2 linked regions of the Pelodiscus sinensis genome follow. The protein of the gene in region 1 purifies or fractionates together with the protein of each later gene. This does not show direct contact. Links are inferred from orthologs where the notes say so. Each region holds a gene or a part of one and is shown in the gene's direction. Other genes may lie near its edges.

The links. The genes of interacting proteins can lie anywhere in the genome.
Region 2: the proteins of NUP107 (region 1) and TPR fractionate together in Homo sapiens (co-fractionation; 4 studies listed by BioGRID and IntAct, with this or other methods). This does not show direct contact. The link is inferred for Pelodiscus sinensis from reciprocal best matches to the Homo sapiens genes NUP107 and TPR.

What each region holds. Positions count from the first base shown.
Region 1 is NC_134711.1:63,435,171-63,442,239, forward strand, and holds the start of NUP107 (nuclear pore complex protein Nup107), read left to right. Parts: upstream 1-4,065; 5' UTR 4,066-4,221; coding exon 4,222-4,259; intron 4,260-4,576; exon of another isoform or gene 4,577-4,725; intron 4,726-6,061; coding exon 6,062-6,147; exon of another isoform or gene 6,148-6,191; intron 6,192-7,069. UniProt on the Homo sapiens protein: Plays a role in the nuclear pore complex (NPC) assembly and/or maintenance. Required for the assembly of peripheral proteins into the NPC. May anchor NUP62 to the NPC. Involved in nephrogenesis.
Region 2 is NC_134719.1:54,932,192-54,939,866, forward strand, and holds the start of TPR (nucleoprotein TPR), read left to right. Parts: upstream 1-4,670; 5' UTR 4,671-4,783; coding exon 4,784-4,934; intron 4,935-7,176; coding exon 7,177-7,281; intron 7,282-7,675. Other genes in the region: ODR4 (protein odr-4 homolog), read right to left, coding at 2,832-2,930.

The sequences.
Region 1 (7,069 bases):
GACACTGAATTTGGTTTGTCTACTTATCTCACATAGGTGTTTGAGGCTTTATTTGTAAAATGCTTTCTAGCCCCCAACTGAAGACTAAGATGTGAATTATTACTCTTAGGTATTCATATCTTGCAGAAATGCTCACTTGGTTTCATAATGAGTTGTTGATAAAATAGAAGGGGGGGAGGGGTTAACAGAGTTTACAACTTGTAATAACTGGTAACTTCTTGGGTGGAAAAGGGGTATATATTCATATCCATACTTTAAATCCCAGCTCACAAACAAAATTCTGTGTCTGTACAGAGTCTAGCACAATGAAGTCCATTCTTGTGTGGCCACCAGCCCTTACCATAATAATTTGTTTTACATTATTTATAATTTTCCACTCTGTTGGGATTTTCATTTTAGACTTAATAGTTTTAAAAACTCTGCAAGCATCTTTGTCTGTCCGTTATAAAGAAAAGGCCATTGAGTTCTGTAACCCCTAGGAGTAGACCCATCACCATATGGACAAAATCCGCTACTATCCCCATTGCATTGTAGCAGTGGCACCAACAGCCAACTCAGGTGCTTTCTTGGACGTGTTCCCCCAATTGAGGCAAACCCAGCCATGCTATGTTTCCCTCCAGCTTCTTTTCGACCAGCTGTCTAGCAATGACTACACCATCTATCGTAATTTTTACTTTTCTAAAACTAAAGCACTCAACTATTTGGCTCTTTTGGACAGTTTCATGCAGTGGGATGATAGCTTAATTCCTTGGTACTCTGGCCCTATGTGTCACATTTTTATTTGTACATTAGTACCAATTAGTCTCCACTCTGTTGGGATTTTCTTCTCTCTTCAATTTGCATACAGGACTCACATGAATCAGCATTTGCCAACCTCTCTCAAGGCTCTGATGGTTTCTGTTGTGACTTTGTTGAGTCCTGTTGCTTTTCCAGGTAACATCATCTGCACTGCAGCCTGGACATCTCAGAGATCAACATCCATAATAATTGGTTCACATTACGGTAGTGTAGCATATCTTAAGTATATCACAGTGTTTTCACTGTTACTTACAAGTCTTCTATCACAAGAGGTCTGCTCCCTATATTTATGAATGGTATGTTCCCTCCCTTCCTTCCTTTTTTTTTCCTTGTTCATATGACTGCATATTTTTTTTGAGAGTAGTTGTTGATCTCATAGAGCTTATCTAAATTTAGGGTTCCTGACTGGCTGCTTGCTTGGAAGTTCTATATGTGGCCATGTGTTCTTCCAAAGAGGTCTTTTTTCTTTGCTTGTTAAACTATTTTTTCATGAGACACTGGTCTCCCCAGCTGTTTAACTTCAGATCAAAACATTCTTAGATAGACCACTCTAATTCTGCTGTTACAATTTGTGTACCTTTTGCCTCAAACCTTTCCGCTCTTTCCCTAAACTTATCAACAGTACCCCACACAGTCTCTGTATCCTTGTTCATGTCTCACTGGCACAAAGATCATGCCAGGACCATTTGTCAGTTGAAACTGTACCAGTGGCTTGTGTTGGGATGTGATCATTTTGCTCAACATAAATTTACAATCCATAACCTCCTCCTCTAGCTCATTCAGACTAGCAAGAAATCTATTTGCCTGCTTTTTTTGCTGCTTCAGAAGGTGCAAAGATGACTTTCTCTTCTTTTGAACTAAGTGTCATTTATCCACTGTAGGGATATTACATTTTGACTAATCAGCTAATCTAGTACTCAGTGGATTTTCCGAGTACTCAATTGGTTGATAAGCAATGGGGGGAGGAGGGGGCGCTTGCAATCCCAGCTGCGCCATTGCCTTTTAAATGTAGCAAAAGCTCTGCAGGGTTCTTACTACATCTAAAGGCAGAGGTACAGTAGAGGGTTCCAACTACTGCGCCTCCACTTTTTAAACGTAGCAAGAGCCCCGAGGGACTCTTGCTACATTTAAAAGGCAGAGGGGCAGTGGGGAACTTGGGGCAAGTGGGAACTCAGGCAGTATGGGGTTCTTGCTACACTTAAAAGGCTGAAGTGCAGCAGTCAGACCCGGTGCAAGTGGGCACTACTTGAGTCCCCGCACTTGCTGTTTTCCCCGATTCGCCTCCGCCCCCCTTGCTCCCCCCCATAGATGGTACTGCGGGGAGACGGTTTTTAAGCCAGCTCCCCCCAGCACTGGTTCCTGTTCTTCCCCCCCCTGGCCTCCCTTCTTCCCCCCCGCCTCATATAGAGGCAGCAAGGGGGGAGGAAGCAACTAGTGGAGTAGTGACTCGACTAGTTGCTTACATCTCTAATCCACTTATTACCTGAACCCATCTCTAGCAGTGCAGCCACATTTACATTCTGTAATTCCAGTGCATACTATCCTGTATCTGGTCATAGCCTGATTGACTTGAGCCCCCAGCAATAATTCCTATGGTCTGGCAATAACTTCTAGTTTCTGTAGGCCCTTCCTAACCTTTTCTTCAGGACATTGGTTGTCACCAGCTCTGAGACACTGGCCATTTTGAATGTTTTTATAGGATTGAGACCTTGACACTGACCTTCCCCAGGCCATAGCAATCCTTTGGGAGATATGCCTCAGTGCCATTGACCCCCCTGTAATCACACCTACACTCTCCTCCCCCTACCCCCATTGCCCTGACTTCTGCATCCCCCACATCCTCCAACCCTGACTCCTGGACCCTCTCACAACCAGCCTCCTCCCCCTGCCCCAAGCTCCTGCTATCTTCCACAACAGTGCCACCGCCTGCTGAGCCCCCTACACTGCACCCCACTTTCAATTCTTAGGAGCATTGTCATATCACACCTCCCCCTTTCCTCTGCCCTGAGCCCCTCCTCAGGGGACACAACAGTAAATAAGAAACGTTATTTTCACTGCTTATGGAAAAAAAAACCTTCATTCCACCTGTGCAAAAGGATAACGAAGGGCTGCTCCCAGCACCTTGTCTCATGCTTCCCTCAAAGGCCAAAGAGAAGCAGTTGAGTGAAAGCTAGGAGCTGAGAAACTGCCACTACTGTTGGCCGCACTCCAAGGAAACCAGGTGGCCAATCTGCCATTACTGCGCACATCATTAGGTGCCCCACGGCACACATCAGCATCACTATGGTTTGTTGTAAACCATGCTCGCACTGCTATGGCATCTGCATGGGAAATCAGTGCAGAAAAAGGTGGGAACAGACTGCTTCGCCCTGATCTCATGGGCAGGGACTAGACAAGCCTATGATGGGATGCTGACATCAACCCATAACCACCAGTTGCACAGTTTTGATCACAGCGGGCACCCAGAGCAGAGACCAGAATACAAAGCTACACGGTGCATCGTGCTCCGAGTGGACGGCGGAGTCCCTGACGGGGGCAGGTAGTTCCGACTACATCCAAATCTTCCCCACGGCGAGCACGCGGACCTCTGGACTTTGCAGAACCGGTGACCAGAGACCGACCATCATAGAGTCTCCCTTATCTCCCAGTGTCCACATGGCCCGAGCATTCGCAGGGAATCATTCATCCAAGATCAGGTCCTGTGCTGAAACCAACAGGAGCGCGCCTTGCCCAGGCAAGCCCGAGAGCCTGGCGAGCGGGCAGCTCCCACGCGGCGGAGGGGAAGCCGGCGGGGCTGTGAGAGCAGCAGGCGCCAGGATCTCTGCGGCAGGACTGCGCGCGCAATCCCAGCGCGGCGGCGCGCGCTGCCTTCCTCGATCCCTTTGGGCTGCGAGCTCCGGGCAGCCGCCACGCGCCTGCGCAATGTAAGCGCGCCCTTTCCCCGTCAAATCGGGCGGCCTCGTTCAACTTCCGGTTCGAGGAACGCACGCGCTTCCGGGTCCGGGCCATGGAGAGGTGAGCGCGGCAGCCTAGCGGGGCTCGGGATAGTGGCCGGCCTGGCCCGGAGGGAGCCAAGGCCCGAGCCGGGACCCCCAAGTCTCCCCTCCCCCCACCGGCTCCGCGGCCTGGCGCTCCCCTGAGGCTCTCGAGCGGCGGGAATAGGCTCTTGGGGCCCTTGCAGAGAGACCCGCCCCCCTGCGGCTCTCTCGGGAGTGGCGGCAAATAGAGCCGGAGCCGTAAGGAGCGGGGCCGGGCAGAGCGGTGAATGCGGGCGGGGGGGGGGGGGTTTGACCAGGCCCGAGCGGAAAGGGCTGCTGTGCTCCTCTGCCTGCCCTCCCGCGTCACTCGGGCCGCAGGGCTTCTCCAAAAACAACCTAGCGTCCTGCAGCACCTTAGCGCCTGTCAAAACATGTGGGAGGTGTCATGAGCTATCGGGCGCACAGCTCAGTGGAGTTTAAGGGGTGGGTCTAGTTTTCAAACAGCACAGAGAAGGGAATGGGGGGGGGAGAGGAGGAGAAAAAAGGGAGGGAGGAATTGACAATTAGAGTGTCCATGCTGCATGAAGCTGGTAAGAGTATTTAGTACTCATTTTAAGTACCCTTTGTTTGGTTTTTATCATTAGGATGTGGAACGTGGTAAGAATCAAACTTGTAAATGAAAATAAGTTTTGTAGCTCTGCTCTTGAGCTGGCTTTTGAAATTGGTTTGAAATAATATGGTGACTTTGAGATCCATTAATGAGTGTCCAGGCAAGTTAGACTTAAACTACCTCTGACACTTCTTCACAGTAATTCTTGCTGCTGCCAGGCCAGTGGCTCCCGTCGAGCTAGAGCATGTCTTTTTGATGAGGAATAGCCAGTCTTGATTTTTAAATCTTCCATGGTGCAGATTCAACTATCTGTGGCTGTTTTGTGCACAAATCTCCTTGGTAAATTGTTCTGATGGTCACATACCACTCACTTTTTTTAACAATGGAGATATTTCTACTCTGAATTTGTCTTGTTTCAACTTCAAGTCTTTGCATCTTGTTACATGTTTTAATACAGCTAAATGCAATGTCTTATATTTAGGACCAAGGGTATAGGTCACACTAGAAAAATTGGGATTTGTGTTCTGGAAATCAGGGACTCTGAGAGGACTTAAGAATCATAAGTGATAATTAATTGAACATTTTAATGTGTTTTTAATTTATTTAAAAGGGCAAATGCAGTCCTTGTAGGGGGGATACCAAGTAGGAGCACAGAGGACATATTACCTCTGTATGGGTATGTCTAATCTACATCCCTCTGTCGAAAGAGGTATGTAATTTAGGCAAATCAAAAGTGCAAATGAAGTGGGAATTTAAATATCCTGCACTTCATTTGCATAATGGTGTCTGAGTGCTTTTTTGAAAAAGGGTTTTTTGAAAGTGAAAGCACCGTCTAGAGGCGGTTCTTTTGGGAGTGTGGGGGGAACCTTTTGAAAGAGCCTGTACTCCTCGTTCTCCCAGAGAAAAATCTAACACTGGAAGATTAGCAGGATTTGGAATTTCAGGCAAATATTCACTTTTGCCAGTCTAATTTTGACTATGGAAAAGGCTAGCATCTGATTTAAAATAACATTACAGAAAGGGTTCACGGCAGCTTAGGGCAGGTCTGCCCTACAAATTTATAATAGCACGCACTTCCTTCTAATTTTTTTCACGTATGTGTGGAATGAATTTTATGTGCACTAGAATTGTTAAAATGCGTGTAATTAAGTAACTGTGTAACTGCTGAAAATTTCAGCGGTTACACACAAGGTTTGCAGACAGGCTGGAGTGGTCCCACCTTAAAAGGGGTAAGCAGTTAAACATTATGTTTAACAGTTAACCAACTGGTTAGGATTTTACATCCCTAGTCTAAAACAACTGAAGTTACCAAGTGTTCTGTCTGTAGCTTCTAATATGGAACATATTTACATAAGAAATAGATTAAACAAATCCTTTGCATAAATGTAGCATATTAAGGCTCTTGCACAACATTCTCAAAAGTATTCTGACTAATGGTTGTAGCTTCCACAGCATTATGAGAATCCAGTATTCCACAAGACTTTTTTTTTCAATAAAGGCTATTTCTGGATAGATATTAGTATTTGGTATTTCAGTTTTAAGTTTTTGTTGTTAGTTTCTTTTTTTAATTGGGTTTTGTATTTAGTACCATCCAGTTACTTGCTACACTTCTGATTCTTTTAGGAAACGTCATCTGAATGTGTTTAACTGTAGCAACTGTGTTCCTGTTTTGTAGGAATGAATTTGGAGAAATGTCATCCTCACCAGATATAGAGGTGACCAGGCCTGCTCGGAAACAGAGCTCTAAAAAAAGAGTTTCTAGTATCCTTTTTCTGTCAAGCTTTTTTTCTGTCCTGTTTTAAAAGGTATAAAAGTTGTGATTGCTTCATGCCACAGTTAACTTTTCTTGATTTGGGGTTCAGTAAATGAAGACTTTCCAAAAATTGAATTGTCAGTTGAAGAATATTGCAAAACTTATTCCTTTAATTTAATACACATTTGAAGTCACAAGTTACATTAATGTGTACTTTAAAAATTTGACACTGAGAGTAAAGGAGCCCAACATGTCTGCTGTTGCTGGTAGCTCTCTGACTACAACAGAATAAAACTAACAAGATGCTGACCCTTTTCGCTATTCCAAAGAGCAGCAGGGAATTTGACAGGAATCATGTCAGTTCCATGCTGGTTTGCTTTTAGATTTGCCTTCATGCACTGGAATTATGTATTGAGTAGGAGGGAACCACAAAACAAATTGAGGAAATGGTTGAGGAGCAGAGAATACTTCTCCCTGTTCCCCTCCCCCAAGCAATTAGCAGACTTGTGTAATTAGAGAGCAGATATAGAAAGTTCTTTTTCTTTCAGTGAGGGATGAAATATCAGATAAAGCAGATATATTCTAGCCAAAGGCTGATGTACTAATACCTTCCTAGATCCCTTATGGTGAGTTTCCCTTCGTATGCATGCTCATCTTCACTATCCGCCTCTGTTTAGTAGGTTTAGCCTTAGTCCTCTAGCTATTAAATCTCAGGTAAATATTTCAGGCTTCTTTAACAGGAATTATCTCTTAGCCTTGGTAAATTTAGTGGACTAAGTGGACATTCCCTGTGATATCTTAAGGATTTCTTAAGATGCTGTGATGCATGGGTGGGGAACCTTTTTGGGGGTTTTCAGACCCTCAGAAAAATAGGTTGGGGGGCCACACGCGTGATAAGCAAAAACAAAAAACCCTCACATTGATATGGTC
Region 2 (7,675 bases), on another chromosome or scaffold:
ACAGGAGCATGACTTTGGGCATGTCTAGACTACATAGATTAGGGTTGTAGGCAAAGGGAAATGAAGCAGCGATTTAAATAATTGCTGCTTCATTTAAATTTAAATGGCTGCCGCTTCATTTCCCTTTGCCGACTAAACAAATCTACATGGCTCCTTCGATGGAGACACGTAGTCTAGACACACCTACTGAAATATCTATAGACCTAACTGGGAATTTACATGTATAAGAAGGGAAGCTCTTACCATGGGACTCTGGGTTCAGTCCTGCAAGACAAGCCTCAGAAGAACCCCAACTCCTCACTCAGTCAGCTTTGCCTGGCCAGTAAAACTGACTTGAGCCACCATGGACCAGTAACTATGCACCATCTGCAGGACGTGCGTGCGTATGCATCTGCATGTGTCCTTATAAAGCATATGCTAACTGCTTCTCTGCTGTATTCTCAATAAACACGGTGTATTGCCTTTTCCCTGAAAAAGATCCCGTGTGCTTCTTATAAGCATAACGAACAAACTGGAAAGTCATGGCAGTCGGGAGCCCAGGAGCCACTCGCTGGCCAGGAAGGAGCGGGCAACACAATGATGTGCTACCCAGAGGCTTTCCCCACTGCAATGGGGCACAAAGTCAGGTAAGCATGTCCCCTCATACTAAGACCCCTGCACTGCAATTCCCCTCACTTGCTTCTCTCCCCCCACCAAGACCCTGCACCCCCAGCTTTCTCCTACATCTTCCCTTGCTCCTGCACCCTCCCTTGCTCTTGCTTCCTCCCCCTGTCCAGACACCCTACCCCCAGCCTGCTTCTACCTCCCATCCAGCCCTCTCACTCCCACCCCGATCCAGCATCCCCATCCCTATCCCACTCACTGGCAGCCCTGTCCCATGCACTGCACCTCTCATTTTTGCCCCCACCCCAGAGCCTTAGGTTTCCACAAAACCTACTAATTCTGGAACCCCAGAAAAGTAAATCTAGCCTATGGGAAGCCCTGAACCTCAATCCTCGCTGTCCCTTCCCCTCGCTCCATGGGGTTGGAGCACCAATGGAGTGAGTTGTCTCAGTTGCGGGCCACATCAGTGTGGGTTGGGGGCTTTGGAAGGAGTTTTTTTTGCTTTTTTATTTGTGTGGTCCTCAGCTGATTTTTCTGTGGGTCAGTGGTCTCTGACCCTAAAAAGGTTCCCCACCCCTGCCATACACAAAGAACACATTATGTGTTGGACATAAATTAATATTTTACTTGATTTAAAATGAAGCTTGATAAACTAACATGAGAAAGTTAAAATGCTTAATCTGTTTAATAATTTAAATTAAACCATTCTCTTTAGCTGCAGCACTTGCAAAATGGCTCAGGGTTACTTATGTAATTACAAGTGAGTTTCCATTAGCAATTGGTGGTCTACAGAAAGGTTTGCATTGAGCCAGGTAGTCCATGGGCCAAAAAATTTGAGAACCGGTGCTTTAGTTTCCTGATCTTTCAGCACTTCAGCTAGTTAGCTGAAAGGCTGTTCAAAACACAATTCATAAAAAAAAAGTAGGAAGTGGATACCATTGCTCAACTAAACACATTCCTTGCATTAAAGATACGTCTGCGCTGCAATCATCGGGTGTAACTGTAACCCCTGTGGGTATGCCTGAGCTTAAACCTAGCTAACTCAGCTACCACATCAGTGAAGCCATAGCAGAGTGGAAAATGTGTAGGGTGGTCAGCCTTTGCTAAAGCCTAAGTGTCAGTTTCACTGCTCTGGTACATGAGCTAGCTAAATTAAAGCTTGGGTATGACCACATGAGTTGCAGTCAAAGCCCATTATACCAATATAGATCTACCCTAGAACCAATATACCATTTTCCCACAAACTTAAAAAGACAAAATAAAAAGCATTAGGATGTCAGCACCATCATAAGCTAGTCAAGAACCCAGCTTTGAGTAGGGATGTTAGCAAAACATCACTGCATTTAGCCATTTATTTGTACCTCTGGACCCCGTGCTCCATTCATCTGAAGAAGTGGGTTGTGCCCACAAAAGCTCATGATACTATCTACATGTTTTGTTAGTCTCTAAGGTTCTGCAGGACCATTCATTGGTTTTTTCTATTATTATTATTTTCAGTTACAGACCAACATGGCTACCCCTCTGAGACATTTAATTCTGTAAATGTGTAACCGTTAAATTTTTCATTAGTTACACATTTACATGCAGGAGTAGCAGGCGGGAGCCAGTACTCGCAGGGAGCCATCTTTTAAGCACCGCAAGCACTGGCTCCCACCTGCTACTCCCTGCCCCTTCTTCACTGCCTCAGAGGCAGCAGTGCTGGGGGAGGAGGGGGGAGGCAGCTCTGCAGGAGCCCGTGGTTGTGGCAGAGAAAAAAATCAATACAAATAGTACAAGGTAACAATGAAAATACAGATTATCAATTTTGGGAATGGCAAAAAAGGAAGAAATTAAAATGGTAACATATTTTGCTATGTTAATCATTCACAAATATATAAAAGAAGTGACACTAAAATGATCTTCACAATCTCATTTCTACTAACACCTTAACACACATGAAACTTCTACAGGTGGGACTTCTCTGGTTGGGCACCCTCGTGACCTGGGCAGTCCCAAACCTCGGAGTTTGCCGGACCCAGGGAGATCAAGGCTCTCCTTCAGCCCTGCTCCCCATCGCCAGCCTCTCTGCCCCAGCCCCTCTGGGGCTGCACTCTTGCCCAGGGCCTATCGGCTACTTAAAAGGTTTTACAGCTGAATATAGATAATAAGCCCTATATGAACATGTTAATCTGAGTTACATTCACATCACAAAAGCCTATTCACTTTCATATAGCAATTTAAACAGTTACCTGTCCTATCAACAAGCCTGTGACACAAGTCTTTGGCTTGGTGCTGAAGTCTGAAAGATACTGTCCAACAGGTTCTTCCACAAAATAGCTTCTTCCCATTACTGCAGGTTTAGCCTAATTTCCATCTATAAAAAGAGAATATATTAATCTACTTTTTAGAGGTACTTAGTCCGAGAACATAAGGTATAGGAGAGTAAGAACACAGAAATAAAGTGTCAGAAAAACACCCTGAGCATATTAATATGTTACTGATAATTTTACTGAGTTCTAAAAGTCTCTCTCTGAATAGGTAAGTATATTCTTAACATACTTGTATGAAAAAGAGGTATTTTAAATGTGATAACTGTGAAACTGACATATCAAATAAAATATCTTCATTTAAAGTCTTGAAACGATAATTTACAAATGACCTATGAAACAACCTTCAACTCTTAATGTTCACCTCCAATTATTGTCTCATGAATTCACAATTCTCAGTCAGACTCCCATCTCTAGCCTATAATCACATCACCTGCAAATAACTGCTGCCTAGAAAAAAATGAAAGACTAGTCCTGGCTCAGTCCACAATAACTGCATTCTTTAAACATGCTCATTCCCTTCTTCAGACATGATTTGCTTTTTAAGCCACAAAAGTCTGTCAAACAGGCCTGTCTTACACCTTCCATTTGCAGGGTTTTGTTTGTTTTAAAAAATCCCTGAACACAAGATGTAGGAGGTGGGCATAGGGGGATTCTCTCTCCCCTGGCGGCCAGGCTCATATCCTTCAATCTATTTGACTCACTCCTTCCAAACTAAGGATGTTAAGAAGCAGGTAATTGACTAATCATATAGTCGACACAATTTATATCAACACACAATTAGTTGATAAGGGGCACCGTCCCAGACCTGGCGCAAGAGGGACTGAGCAGTCCCAGCTCAGGCCATGTCCCAGACCCACCCCCGCTGCAGCTTTGCCTTTTAAATGTAATAAGAGCTGGGTGGCTCCCTACTACATTTACAAGGTAGAGGTGCAGCAGTCCGAGACCCAGTGAAAGCTGGAACTGAGCAGTCCCATCTTCCAGACCACTGTGACTCTGTCTCTCCTCCCCCACCCCACACCAGAGAGGGCGCTGGGGGGGACTGGATTTTAAGCTCCCTTCAGCACCAGCTTTCCCCCCTCCCTTTGCTACTCTGTATCAGGCGGTGGGGGGTGGGGAGGACAGTCGAGTACCAGTGGAGCCTAGGCTTATCGGGCAGTGAACTAGTCACTTACATCCCGACTCCAAAGGGACACAGTAAAATCAAGAGAGAGAGAGCGAGAGAGCGAGATCTACACCAAAGAGCTGAGAGGCGACGTGGCAGGCGCCAGGACTTGCAAGGTGCAAGCAGGCGGAATCCACTCGTTCGGGCAGCCCCCGCGCGGGCGGCGAGCCAGCACCTCCGACCGGGGCCATGTTCCCTCTGCCCCACCAGCTCTCCCCCTCCGCGCGGCCAGGCCCCCGGCGCCTTCAGACACGCTTCCCCTCCCCCACCAAGGTCAGCCTCCCAGCCAGGGCCACAGCTTACTGGTGTCCCCACAGATGCACATCACCAGGCTGCGCTGCGCTCCGCTCTCAAGGCGCAGGTTGATGACGTAGGATCACTGCGCCTCAGGTCTCTTTCAGGTTCTATGATTCGAGGAGAGAAAACTCTCAGCGCCGGAGGTCGGGCGCTGGTTGTTGCCGCCCATCGGGGCCCGCCATGTGCTGTGTGGCAGAGGTCGCTGCGCCTCTTTCTTGCCCACCCGGGCCGCAGTGCCTCGCCCATCATGGCGGACAGGACGCGACTTGCGGAAGCTTTCGCACACGAGTTCCGCTTCCGGTGGCGCCTGCGGTCGGTTGGCTACTGTGCGCGCTCTGTGCGAGCCGGGGAGGCGAGCTCTGGCTGCGCGCTGCTCGGGAGGCGGTAGCGAGGTTAGCGGCTCCCTCCCAAGATGGCGGCGGTGCTGCAGCAGGTCCTGGAGCGGGCCGAGCTGGCCAAGCTGCCCAAGCCGGTGCAGGGGAAGCTGGAGCGCTTCCTGGCCGACCAGCAGACCGAGATCGACGGGCTCCGGGCCCGGCACGAACGCTTCAAAGTGGACAGCGGTGAGTGGCGGGAGCCGGGCCCGGGGAGACGTTGATACGCTGCTGTCCCTGGGACCAGGCCTGAGTCTGCTGCCAGGCAGGGGGGCCGGCCCCCGGGCTTGGGCGGACGGTTCTCCCGCCCGCCACGGAAATGCACCAGGAACCGAGTGTCGAGTTGTGACAGCGGCCACTGGCTAGTGACAGACCCTGGCAGCAAAGGGGTAGCGCGAGAGGCAACGCTGTGGGCAGCTCTCCTGGTGCGGACAGAGGCGTATAAACGTCCCCCACGGCTTTCACTGCTGTGTAGCGGCACTGAGGGAGCATTACACGTGTTCTAGGAAGTGGATTCCTTTGACTTTTAAACCCTCCTTCTCCACTTAGGCCTTGGTCAACAATATTTGCAGAACTCAATAAGAGGCTGCTCTTCGCGTGAAGTTACAAGTTATTGCTTTACATTAAACGCCTAAAATTAATTGAAAATGAAAGGGAATGTACTTATTGAGTGAGATTCTCTATCTGTTCCCTAAGTTAGGCTGTTGCTTGAGGAAGAGTATAAGAGCTTTGTTTGGTCTACACTGCAAAAAAGAACATTGCTACAGTGGTTCTGTGAGCCCGGGTCTACACACTTTGTGTCCCAGAACTAAAAATAGTTATGAAGATATTCCCATTTGGGAATAGTGATAGAGATGCAGCCATGTTAGTCTGGTCTAGCTAAAACAAAAAACAGGACTATGTAGCACTTTAAAGACTAACGAGATAGTTTATTAGGTGATGAGCTTTTGTGGGCCAGACCCACTTCCTCAGATCAATCTTCTGCAAATTGATCTGAGGAAGTGGGTCTGGCCCATGAAAGCTCATCACCTAATAAACCATCTTGTTAGTCTTTAAAGTGCTACATAGTCCTGTTTTTTGTTTTAGCTATTCCCATTTTGGGTCTGAGCCCTAAGGAGGGCATTGATTTCAGAGCCCACGTTCTAGTGGGAACTTCTATACGTCTATTTTTAATGCTATAGTATGAGTCTGGTTTTATAAACCCAGGTTCTGAGACTCAACAGCTGTGTTTTGGTGTTTTTTTATTTTTTCAATCTAGACATATTCTGAGGGAGCCCAATCCGGCAACACTTCCAGTAAACTCAGTTTTTGAAACTTTAACCTTTCTGAATGATCTGCAGTTGCTGGAAACAAAACTTTGAAAGGGTGATTGAATTATCACCTATGCAACACTTTGGCTTCCTGAGTGCTGTAATCCAACCCAGGCTTTGGGACTATAAGGTAGTTCCTTCTGGCATTATATGGAGATATACCTATTTCATATAACTGGAAGGGACCTTGAGAGATCAAGTTCAGTCCCCTACCCTCAGGGCAGGACCCAAGTACCATCCCTGATAGATGTGCCCCAGATCCCTACATGGCCCTTTCAAGGATTGAGTTCACAGCCCTGGGTTTAGCAGGCCAATGCTCAAACCACTGAGCTATCCTATCTCTCTTCCCTGCTTAAACTCTTAAGATTTTTTTTGAGACAATGACATTGATTATATATGATTTTATCACCTAGGGATGTTAAATCAGTTAACTGGTTAAACACTAGCACTTAACTGTTTTAACTTATGTCCTGCCGCCATAACTTATGTTGTGGGGTCCCATTGTTCAGCCTGCTGGCTTCTCTGCAACTGGGGCTGCTCCAGCTCAGAGTTCACTGGCAAGGGCCAGTTAACCAATAAAATCACTGCTATCACCCTGGGCTCAGTTGGAAAGGCAACATATCTTAATGTCTAGAACGGAGGAGTGGGACCAGGAGACCTGGATTTAATATCTGGCTCTCTCAGTGGGTAACCTTGGGCAAGATACTTCCCTGTGACTCTATTGCTTTGTAAAATGACATTAAAGATACTGATGTTTGTAGAACAGGGGTCTCAGTCTCCTGGCCCGTGAGCTATCCCCAGCCAGAGCAAGTGCTCAATCCAGACTGAGATTCCTAGGGGGACAGTGGAGGCTGTCCACTTTTGGCCCCGGACAGCCTCTACTCCCAGCAGTTGGCCACTCTGCCTCTGGAGTCCTGGCTGACCCCCACTCCCAACCACTGGGACTGCATCTGGCAGAGAGGTCCTACCTTTAGTTAGCAATGTAGCACTGCACTTAAAGTTTTCAGTAGAGCCTGGAGCAGGAGTGAAAGGATTATTTCTGGCATTTTTCTGGTAGATATGGTTCCCTAATAAAAACTAATTATGAAGTAATGTTAACATAATGTGTTGGTGTTGTACAGAACAACAGTATTTTGAAGTGGAAAAGCGTCTGGCTCAAAGTCAGGAGAGACTTGTAAACGAGACTCAGGAATGTCAGACAATCCGCCAGGAGCTAAACAAACTTAGTAAGTATAACTATGCATTGATTAACTGTTTTATGCTTGAATAACAGTTTGGAAAGTTATTTTTCTGCTCATATGATTACATCTATTGAAGTTATTTTGAAATGCTTAATACTCTAACCTTTCATTTCGTAGAAGTTAATTGATATTTTTTATTCAAATCCTTGCTTTCTACATGCAGTCTGTTTTACTGGAGTAAACATCTTATTTCATTTTATTCAAGAAAAGATTCTACAAACAAATGTGTGCAGTGTACCCTTATATCCAGGGCTCGCCGAACCACGCTGTCCGGCAATCTGCGCATGCGCAGGTCGCTGGAACCCAGCTCATCCGGGTTACAATATACTTGCCACAGGCGAGTAGATTGTATAATTTGTCGAGCCCTGCTTTATACCAA